Linked DNA regions of Mus musculus. The protein of the gene in region 3 interacts with the protein of the main gene of each other region in a pairwise test. Links are inferred from orthologs where the notes say so. Each region holds a gene or a part of one and is shown on either strand. Other genes may lie near its edges.

Evidence for each region.
Region 1: the proteins of Trim39 (region 3) and Ccnc interact in binary tests that used the Homo sapiens proteins (3 or more experiments, as listed by UniProt). The two-hybrid records come from large-scale screens. The link is inferred for Mus musculus from reciprocal best matches to the Homo sapiens genes TRIM39 and CCNC.
Region 2: the proteins of Trim39 (region 3) and Psma6 interact in binary tests that used the Homo sapiens proteins (3 or more experiments, as listed by UniProt). The two-hybrid records come from large-scale screens. The link is inferred for Mus musculus from reciprocal best matches to the Homo sapiens genes TRIM39 and PSMA6.

Annotation. Positions count from the first base shown.
Region 1 is NC_000070.6:21,730,576-21,734,228, reverse strand, and holds part of Ccnc (cyclin-C), read right to left. Parts: intron 2,012-3,653; coding exon 1,927-2,011; intron 1,741-1,926; coding exon 1,671-1,740; intron 1-1,670. UniProt on the Homo sapiens protein: Component of the Mediator complex, a coactivator involved in regulated gene transcription of nearly all RNA polymerase II-dependent genes.
Region 2 is NC_000078.6:55,405,196-55,408,848, reverse strand, and holds part of Psma6 (proteasome subunit alpha type-6), read right to left. Parts: intron 1,381-3,653; coding exon 1,286-1,380; intron 848-1,285; coding exon 766-847; intron 1-765. UniProt on the Homo sapiens protein: Component of the 20S core proteasome complex involved in the proteolytic degradation of most intracellular proteins. This complex plays numerous essential roles within the cell by associating with different regulatory particles.
Region 3 is NC_000083.6:36,268,597-36,272,274, forward strand, and holds the start of Trim39 (E3 ubiquitin-protein ligase TRIM39), read right to left. Parts: upstream 2,838-3,678; 5' UTR 2,741-2,837; intron 2,182-2,740; exon of another isoform or gene 471-2,181; 5' UTR 466-470; coding exon 13-465; intron 1-12.

The DNA.
Region 1 (3,653 bases), on a different chromosome or scaffold from region 3:
GAACTAGGTAAACACTCTGTAACTGACTTCTGTAATGAGATTTATTCAAACTTTATCTCAAGAAACCATGGACAGAGTTAAATTAGGTTCCTAGAAAAGGTTTTAGTATTTCTAATATAGTCAATTCTGCTTACTTAGGAGATAATAAAGATGCCATGGAGGCTTCTAAAATAAAAATGAACACAAGAGAAATAGAATCTTCCTGGTTAAACTCGTATTCAGTTCACAGGGACAGAATTATTCTAAAGACATCACCTAAGGACAGAAACAATAGACTAGGGAGTGTGTGGATTAGTTAAGAAAAAAAGCCAGTTCTCAGAATCTGATATTATTTGGGTTTTAGCTGAAAGTTAAACTTTCTTAATAATAATGAAAACAGTCAGTTGAGCAGAAATGCAGTTTCTGGTCAAGTCCTCCTCTGACATCTTTCTCACCTACTGTTTCTGTTCCCACCGTCCACACCTTTCCTGGCTAGAGTCTACAAAGTCTCTCTTCTTTCTCTCCCCAGTGGCTTGTTACCAATGAAGACAGGTTAAACACAGAGCATCACAAGGGGGAGGGGCAGACATCCTCAGGCCCAAACAATCTTTTTTTTTTTTTTTTGGTTCTTGTTTCAAGACAGGGTCTTACTACATTGCTCTGGCTATCTTGGAACTCAGAATTCACTATGTAGTTCAAGCTGGCCTTGAACACAAAGATATCTACCTGCCTCTGCCTCCCCGGTGCTGGGATTAAAGGCACGTGCCACCACACTCAGCCAGTCTTTTAAAGATAGCGAAGCAATTAAGCTGCAGATGAAGATCTAGACAATCAGGACTCACTGACCTGGCAATATGAACACGGGTCTCTCTATGCCTTTGTTTCCTCACTTATAAAATGAGGGTTTCAAGTGTTACAGTTCTGAGGGGAAAGGTTTACTCTACGAAAGTACTGCAGTTCTGAGGGGAAAGTTTCCTTATAGAAGTGTTACAGCTCGGAGGGGAATGGTTTCCCTTGTGTGACATCTCTGAAGGAAAGACATTCTTCTAGTCAGGAGCCAAGGAACACCACAAAGTCACACTGCACAACAAACGTCACAAGATTTATTGGGAAGGACAAGAGAAGGTGTTTGCAACTCTGCTTGAGCAAGAAGGAGAAGGGGAAGCAGAAGCAACAGGAATCTGAGAAGGCAGGATGTATTAGAGGGGTGGGGCCGGGACTGCTCTCCAGGGCAGCATGGGATTGATGTGATCTTGGGGCAAGCTCAGGGACTGACAGGATTCTTTTTCTTGGCCTTGCTTTCTTGCTTGGGCTCAAGTCAAGGTCAGGGTGTTCTTTCCCTGGCCCTGGTCTCAGAATCCAGCGTGTTTTTTCTTTGGCCCTTTTACCCAAAATGGATTCTACTACTGTATACTCCAGTTATAGGATTGAATTAGAACTTGTAAAGGGCCTCATTAAATCATCTGATATGTAGTGACATAGTTATTAAAAAAATATTTGCAAGATGTGTTTTCATCAGTTCAGATAAACTACCACTTATGATTATTCATACAAAGGCATACACACACACACACACACACACACACACACACACACATATATATATATATATATATATATATATATACACACACACACAAAGATTAACCAGACAGTGATACTTGGATGAAGAACAGAAAATTGTTTTATACCTCTACTTTGGATGCCAGAAACACACATGTAGGCGCCATTAATACAGGATCTATACTTTTCAGAGAATACCTAAAAATACAATTAGACAAGAGTTAAATGATGTGATGACTCTTTAGAAAACACACTGGGGGTGGGGGTGGGGATGGGGAATCATAATTCTACACTAAACAAGTGATTTACTTATATATTGTACATGAAAATTAGAAAAGAATTTCAACCAGGCATTAAAAAAATAAATGAATAAAACAACCATACCTAGCATAGAATCTCTTGAAATAGACTGTAGCAGTAGCAATAACTTGTTGTCTTAATTTAAGATGTTCACCTAATGCTTGGATAACTAAAAAAGAATAAAGTTTAAATGTATCATCTGTCATCAGTATAATAACACTACTACCATTAACTTGTATCAGTGATTTCTACATGATGCAATCATGACCATTCATACCTAGGCACACTTTGACACTTTCTGAACCTCACTAGTCTAAGACTTGCAAATGCAGTAATATTCATAAACAAGAAAAGAAACTGCGTACAATTTATCCTTACAACAAGCAGGATGAATATCAAATATTCTTTTTTTACTAGGTACTTTAATGCTTTTCATAGTATCTATAAAAATAGCTTTAAAAATTAAGATAGATTTTGTTATTTACCAAGAAATTCATAGTTAATCTTTGATATAAGGAAAAAGGTAGGTTTGCAGAGAGTAACATGGTGAAGATCAGATGGCAGGATGGGAGCGATAGTAAGACCTGGGTTCCACTCCCAACACCCACAAGGTGGCTCATATCCATCTGTAACTCCAGTCCCAGGGGAGCCACACCTCCTCAGCATTAGGCACAGCATATAATGCACAGATACAGGCCAAATACTCATACATATAAAAAAATAAATACAATTAAACAAACAAAATAGGCAACAAAGCTATCCCAGACACAGAAAAGGTCTCTTGACTAAGTCATCATCTTTTTTTTTTTTTTTTTTTTGGTTGTATTTTCCTGTAATTCTTTTTTTTTTTCCATTTTTTATTAGGTATTTAGCTCATTTACATTTCCAATGCTATACCAAAAGTCCCCCATATCCACCCACCCCCACTCCCCTGCCCACCCACTCCCCCTTTTTGGCCCTGGTGTTCCCCTGTACTGGGGCATATAAAGTTTGCAAGTCCAATGGGCCTCTCTTTCCAGTGATGGCCGACTAGGCCATCTTTTGATATATATGCAGCTAGAGTCAAGAGCTCCGGGGTACTGGTTAGTTCATAATGTTGTTCCACCTATAGGGTTGCAGATCCCTTTAGCTCCTTGGCTACTTTCTCTAGCTCCTCCATTGGGAGCCCTATGATCCATCCATTAGCTGACTGTGAGCATCCACTTCTGTGTTTGCTAGGCCCCGGCATAGTCTCACAAGAGACAGCTACATCTGGGTCCTTTCAATAAAATCTTGCTAGTGTATGCAATGGTGTCAGCGTTTGGATGCTGATTATGGGGTGGATCCCTGGATATGGCAGTCTCTACGAGGTCCATCCTTTCATCTCAGCTCCAAACTTTGTCTCTGTAACTCCTTCCATGGGTGTTTTGTTCCCAAGTCATCATCTTTTGTTTGGATTTTTCGAGACAGGGTTTCTCTGTGTAGCCCTGGCTGTCCTGGAACTCACTTTGTAGACCAGGCTGGCCTCGAACTCAGGAATCCACCTGCCTCTGCCTCCTGTGTGCTGGGATCAAAGGTGTGCGCCACTACCGCCTGGCGACTAAATCTTCTTGCTTATGCAAAGTTATAAGGTAAAATGAGAACTACTGGATGCTAATTTAAATAATCATTTATTCTTAAAGTATTTTGCTTAGGCCAACCTTAAAAATGGACCTCACTAGAAATGCCTGAGATTAGTCAACACTGGGCTATAATACATAAGGTGCGAAAAGTATTACCCAGAACACTGAAATGATAATTGTCTAAATAAAAGCATTAACTATAGACTTTAA
Region 2 (3,653 bases), on a different chromosome or scaffold from region 3:
AAAAGCCAGTAAGTCAACTAATAACTATAATCAGGCAACTAAACCACTAAGTGACCAACCAACCAAATTCATGACCATCTTAAATATCTTATTAGGGGGTGGACACAGAGCTTAGCAGGTAAAGACCTGTGCAAACATAAGAACCTAAGCTTGGATCCCTAGTAGCCATGTAAAAGCCAGGCATACACCTGTAACCCGGGACCTGTAACCCTGGGATGTGTGTGTGTGTGTGTGTGTGTGTGTGTGTGTGTGTGTGTGTGTACCTTGGAAACAGAAGATGACCCTGGAGGCTTGCTATTCAGACAGTCTAGTTGCAACAGAGATACACATAGGAGAGAGAAGTTATCTCAAAAAATAAGGAGGAAGGTGATAGTAGAAGACATCAGAAGTCAACCTCTGGCCTCCACAAGCACAGTGAGCATACTTGTACAAACACAAACTAATACTACCCTTGGACGATAGGAAAATAGCGAATCTACTAGTAACACCCCAAAACCAGGCACTAAGGGATCTTTAAAGCAGAAAAGACAGGGCTGGCAAGTAAGGGTATCTTTTAAGTCTGACAACCTGAGTCCCATTCTTAGAACTCACATGGTAGAGAAAGCCAACTTCCACAGGTTGCTGACCCACACATGCCCTGACAAAGTGCACCCCTCCCACATACACCATCAATACATGCAAAAACAAATACACAACACAAATACAAAGTGATCTGGCAGGAAGGACTGCCAGGCTGCACTCCAGGACGGCGCTGCTTGCGGTTACCTGTCATTCCTGTCATCACACAGCCAATGCTTTCCGTTATCTTGAACAAGTGAGTCACTGTGCTGGAATCCAGTAGTTTGTCCTAAAGAACAAAATAAACCACCGCCATGTCATTTTAAAGTCCACAGCCTCTGCACACTTATAAAAAACCACCAGTGTGGAACTGGAGCAATAAACTGTAAAATAGGAGTTATGAGCTATGTGTGTTCTGTTCATTTTACAGTTAAAACCAATCTTTCAAAAGGGGTAGAGGAAGATGTTTTTTCTAGATGTTTTCTGTGGATTAAAGATCCCAGAAAACAAAGGACTTAGAAATCTCATCCCACTTATTGTGACTTATTGTGACAATCTCAGCCTAAAAGGGTCCAGCTGCTCAGGGTTCCTTGAGTGATTAGTAAAAAGGCAGAGTCAGACCAAGACAAATGTTAATGTAAATTGGTAATATAACCCTGTTCAAAAATCACAGAAAATTCCTACATTTGATTTTGCAGCCATTGACTGGCTGGGCAGTATTACTTACGGGTACTTTCTTCTGTGTGACAATAACTGCACAGTCCTTTCCTCTGACAGCAACAGATGTAAGTCCACCCTGGTTAATAGCCTTAAAAGCATATTCTGGAAAAACAAAACAGGTTTTTGTTTGTTTGTTTGTTTGTTTGTTTGTTTTTTAAAAGGTGGACTAGGACCTGGGGATGTTGCTCAGTTGATAAGAGTGTTGGTTTAAGCCAGGCGTGGTGGCGCATGCCTTTAATCCCAGCGCTTGGGAGGCAGAGACAGGCAGATTTCTGAGTTCAAGGCCAGCCTGGCCTACAAAGGGAGTTCCAGGACAGTCAGGGCTATACAGAGAAACCCTGTCTCGAAACACCAAAAGAAAAAAGTGTTGGTTTAGTAAGCACAAAATACTGGATCAATCTGAGTTTGGTGACTACAATGTTAGCATTTGGTGGGCAGATAGGAGAGTCAGAATTCAAGGTCATCTTTGTACAGAGAGTTTGAGGCCAGCCTGAGATACAAGAGACCCTGTCTTTAAAAAAAATAGGAACATTTTCTTTCCATTTTTGAGCCAGGATCTCATTATGTAGCTCTGGCTGGCCTGGACCTCCTGAGTGCTGGGATTAAAAAGCATGTCTGGCTAAGGTGGGATAATTTTTTTTTCTTAAATAAATTTTTTTTATTTATTAGGTATTTTTTTCATTTACATTTCCAATACTATCCCAAAAGTCCCCCATACCCTACCCCCCCCACTCCCCTACCCACCCACTCCCACTTCTTGGCCCTGGCGTTCCCCTGTACTAAGGCATATAAAGTTTGTAAGACCAATGGGCCTCTCTTTCCAATGATGGCCGACTAGGCCATCTTCTGATTCATATGCAGCTAGAGAAACGAGCTGGAGGGGTGGTTGGTTAGTTCATATTGTTGTTCCACCTATAGGGTTGGGTACTATAGCTCCTTGGGTACTTTCTCTAGCTCCTCCATTGGGGGCCCTGTGTTCCATCCAATAGATGACTGTGAACATCCACTTCTGTATTTTTATCATAGCTCTTACATGGAAACTAATAAACCATCATTAAAAGAATCAGGTTAAGCTATAGGAATGTAGAATGCCAACCAAGAGAAGTAAAGTCAAAATAATAAAAATGTCAATCAACCAGTGTAACCAGCTTCATTTCTTCCAGTTTTATTTTACTGAATTTTCATTAGGTTCAAGTGCCAAATTTTGAAATGAATTCTACTCTAAGTTTATCACAGCAGATCTTAATATGTCTTATCATTTTCAAAGCTGTTCTATGGGCACAGTGTCATCACGCCTGCTTTCCCTAGGTCAAAACTGGTGCTCTAAAGATTTAGTGCTTCTGCTGATTTTTGGTCAATAACTTACTACATGCAGTTTTAATATTTGGTATTAGATTTCATATTAATATTGTCTACCAGTTGACGTTTAATCCTAGCATGGTCCTGGCCAGCCAGGGTTACATGATGAGATCTTATCTCAAGAATGGAAAGAAAATGTTGCAATTTTTGTAACTTACAATTAACATAGGGCTTTTCAGTTTATTACAAACTTCAGAATGTGTACTTGTAACTACTTACTCTCAATGCACTCTCTGGTTTGAAAGACTGGTGTCAAGATGGGAGCAAATACAAACTACTCTGGTATCCCACAGTTTACTTAGTAAGGACCATCTTTGATGAGATGAGATCAGAAATATGGCTATCATTTTCTGTGTTAATACAGAAGATAATTTTTGTTTTCCTTTTTTGAAACAGGGTTTCTCTGTGTAGCTCTGGTTGTCCTGGCACTAGTTCTACAGATCAAGCTAGCCTAGAATTCACAGATATCTGCTTTCCTCTGCCTCCAAAGTGCTGGGATTAAGGTATGTGCCACCATCAGCCAGCTCAGAAATTTTTTCTTAAAATTACTTATAATTCCAATTATGACCTAAATTTTTCTACATAGTAGACAATCTCAAAACTTAACTTTAAGTGATACTCTGGACACTGGTTCTAAGGACTAGCCAGAGGCTTTATAAATGACCAGGATAAGAAACACATGCATTCAATGTTCCTCCATGGCTTCTGTTTCAGTCCCTGAGTCCAGGTTCCTTGTTTGAGATCCTACACTGACTTCTCACAGTGATGCACTGTGATCATGAAATGAAAACCATATAGACTTTTCCCTCCCCAAGTTGTTTCTGGTCATAGTGGTTTGCCAAAGCAATGGAAACCTAGCTAGGGTACCTACTGACTTGAGTTCAATCCCCAGAACTGATATCAGAATGCAGAAGGAAAGAACCAACTCCACAGAGCTGTCCTCTCAACCCGGTGCATTGTAGCACAAATACTCACAAAGAAGTAGTAGTAGTAGTTGTAGTAGTAATAATAATAAT
Region 3 (3,678 bases):
CTGGCTGCCTACCTTGTATTCCTGTGTAGCATCATCCATCGGCACGACGGTGTGGGGCCGGTGGGTATGAGAAATTGCACATATCAGACAGACAGCCTCCTGGTCTTCATAGCAGAAAAGGCTAAGAGGTTCGTGGTGCTGGGAGCAGAGGCTTTCATCTCTGATCTTCCGCTTGACCGTCTGGAGCTGCTTGGCGATTTCCACCATACTGCCTAGCTGTCGGTTAGGCCGGAGACTCCGGTATCGGGATGTCTTCCGACAGACAGGGCAAGGGAAGTCCCGCTCTAGGTCTTCCCACCAGCGGGTAATGCACGCTTTGCAGAAGTTGTGCCCACATTCAATAATAACTGGCTCCTTCAGATACTCTAGGCATACAGAACAGCTTGCTTCCACCTGCAGGTTCTCCAGAGCAGCGGCTGTGGAGGCTGCAGAGGTTCCAGCCTCTAACAGACTTGTCTCTGCCATTATAACTTGGAGGCAGGGAGAGAGGAAAGAAGTGTTAGTTGGAGGGTTATTTTGTTTCCTGACATTAGCTCCCAGTAAGCCATAGGTCTAGATGAAGCCCCATCTTGGTATTCTCCCATTTCCACCTTTTCATCTGTTGGTCTATTTACAGTGTGTGTGACCTCTCCCCATCACTGTTATTATTATTTTATTATTATTTTGAGTCAGCAAATATCAGCAGTGCCCAGAATTTCTTTACCTCTGCTTTTTCAATACCAGCAATGAAAAGGAGCCTGATATGGCGACTGAAACCCATTTCCCTAGCCATTTTTGAGGTCAAGGTAGGGGGACTGTCATTAGCTGAAGGCCAACGTAGGCTACACAATGAGTTCTAGGTTAGCTTGAATTACACAGATCTTATTTCTACAGGGAGGGAACCATGGGAAATGAGATATGTCACATAAGCCAAAGTATTAAGATTTTAGCTGGGCATGGTGGCTCACTGTGAGGCAGGAGGATCAATACAAGAATAAGGCTAGCCTGGGCTGTAGAGTAAGATTTGTAAAACAAATAATATATCTACATATCTATTAAAACTGACTATCAGCCCTAGAACTCATTACTACTTTAAAGAACTTCATATATAATTACTGCATCGATTTCAAAGAACCCCAAGCTACTTCTTCTAACGTCATAGGAAGTTTATTGTTTTAGAGTCTAGCCTTGATTGTCTGCTGTTCCTCTTAATGAGTTACACTACAGTAACACACTGTTTCAGGGAAAGCATGACATGGTTCTTCCTTTCCCCAAACTAGCCCAAAGGAAGAACGCTCTCTTCTTGAAGATGCTCCTGTCACTCACCGCATTTCTATTTGTGTGCAGCTGGGATGGCTGCAAAGCAACAAATACATATCAGCTCTAAGGAAGCACCATTGAGTGCATTGAGGGCAGCAGCTTCTTGGAGAGAGAGCTGGCAAGTACATTCTAAACATTCAGTGGTGACTGCAGTCTTTCAACGTCACTACTGATAACTAACTCCTTAGATAGTCAGTGATTAGGAAGGAAATTAGCCAGGTATGGTTAATACTAGGTAGGTAGCGCATGTACCGAGGAGGCAAAGGCAGGAGCCTCAGGAACTCGAGGCCAGCCTAAATTAAATATAACCAATAAATAGTTATTGGTCTCAATAAATGAATAAGTGTATGGAAAGAGACAACCAAAGCTCTCCATTCTTAAGATGTCAATACATAAGTAAGCTAATTTATCTGGTCCCATAACCCCCTACTTTCCTTCTGTCCCAAAAGGGGCCCCCCAAAAAGGAAGGAAATTTGATAGGTCTACCCATCGACAGAAAAGTGCCCATGTAATGAATTGGGGCAACAATGATTATTTCTGTATACTGGTGGTACAAATGGAAGGATTTTAAGTAGGAGTTGGTAACTTATCCTCTTTTAATGGAGAAAAGAATTGATCCAGATAAGTACAGTTGGATGATTTCTTTCTTCTCTGCCCATTAGAATCCAGTTTTGACTAGTGACTTAGCCTCCTCCTCCTCAATCCTACAGATAAGTGGCATCCTCACCTAAAACTGAACCATATTCACACTTGAGAGACCTGCATGTATCTAATTAGCAAATAGATGGTATGAGAGAGAAACGGGCTCAAGGATAGTGAAGAACGGAGAGGATTTGGAGCTGGGGGTGGTGTGGTGGTGGTGTAGAGGGCAGCCATAATATGGCCTTGTGCTCCTCTGGCTTGATCCTTCCTCCCACTCTCCATTACTCGATCTCAGTGTAAGTAATCGCGTCAGAGACGTCCACGTTTTGCCTTTAATCACTATTGGGTACCACCTCAGGAGCCTCTTTCAAGCACTGGCCACAACTCTGTCCCACCCGTTCTCCATCTTCTCCAGCCATATCGGGAGCATGAGGACCAGAGTGAGGGAGCATACGTCGTGCTTGGCAGGGAGGAACGGATGCGTGTCTAAGTGAGGGAGAGGTGTGACGTGAAGGTGGGATGCCCGCTGCCATGTCGCAGCCCAGACCCGCGATGACTGCGTCAGTTTCACCCGGGGAGACCAAAGGCAGCGGGACAGGGGAACGGCGGGGTAGCCAAGCAACGCCGGACGCGCTGACGTCGCCGGGGCGGCAAACGTCCTCCGGGCCCGAGGCGGGCGGAGGCAGCTGTGGTTGCGCGCCGGCCGGCTGACGTACTCGCCGGGCGTAGGGCCGCGGCGAGAGGAGCCCGCTCGCTGGAGCCGGCTGCGGGACCCTTGTGGCGGCGGCGCAGCACCTACCTTCCCGGCTCCGGGTCCCGGAGTGCCGGGCGCGGAGCCGCCGGAGCACTGCCTCCCTCCTTCCTCCTCCCCTCACCCCCGCCCCGCGGCGCGACACACAATACTCGCCGGAAGCGGAAGCCGCGCTGCGGCGATGGAAGACAGCTGCGCGGCGCCGAGCCGCCGTGCCAGGGCCTAGTCGGGCCCGCGGCGGGTGGCGGGCGGAGAGCCGGAGGCGAGGGCCTGCGCGGCTAGTTTACCGGGCGAGAGGGAACCCGCCGCTTCCCGTGGCTGAGGTGCTGGCGCCCAGGTGACCAGAGCGGTCCCCCGGAGACTGAGGGCCGCGCATGCGCGTGGCGAGACGCCGAACCCCATGGCGGGCAGCGCGCCGTGGCTGGGCTGGCAGAGCTGCGCGGTCAGCGAGCCCGCAGAGGCTCAAGCTGGTCCTCGGTGGGGCTGGGAACCGCAGAGGCCTGGGCGGCTACGGGTTGTGGGCGTTGGGCCACACTTTCCCGGTCTCCGGGTCAATTCTGGGGGAGGGTTGCTGTTTAAGGCGGCGGTGTATTACGTGGCCGACCTGAGAGTCTATGCTGGCACGTCACTTCCGACTGGCTGAGGTTTGGCAATTTAACCGGCAAGCTGTAGTAGGTGAGTTATCTTGGCTGCAGACCGAGGTGCGTCTTTTCCCCTCCTCCGGTTGGGTGATGTATTAGCCAGGGGTTCTCTAGAGCTACAGAACCTAGTGAATGTTTCTCTCTCTATAATTAATCGTGATGACTTACAGGCTAACCCAACAATGGGCAGCTGTGGATGGGAAGTCCAAGAATCTAGTAGTTGCGCAGTCCCACGTGGCTAGTTCTTTCAGCTGGTCTTCTGTAGAAGTAGGTTCCGACAGATGTGCTGGCAAGTAAGTGCAAGCCCGTGAAGAAGAGAATCTTCCTTCTTCCTATGTCCTTATG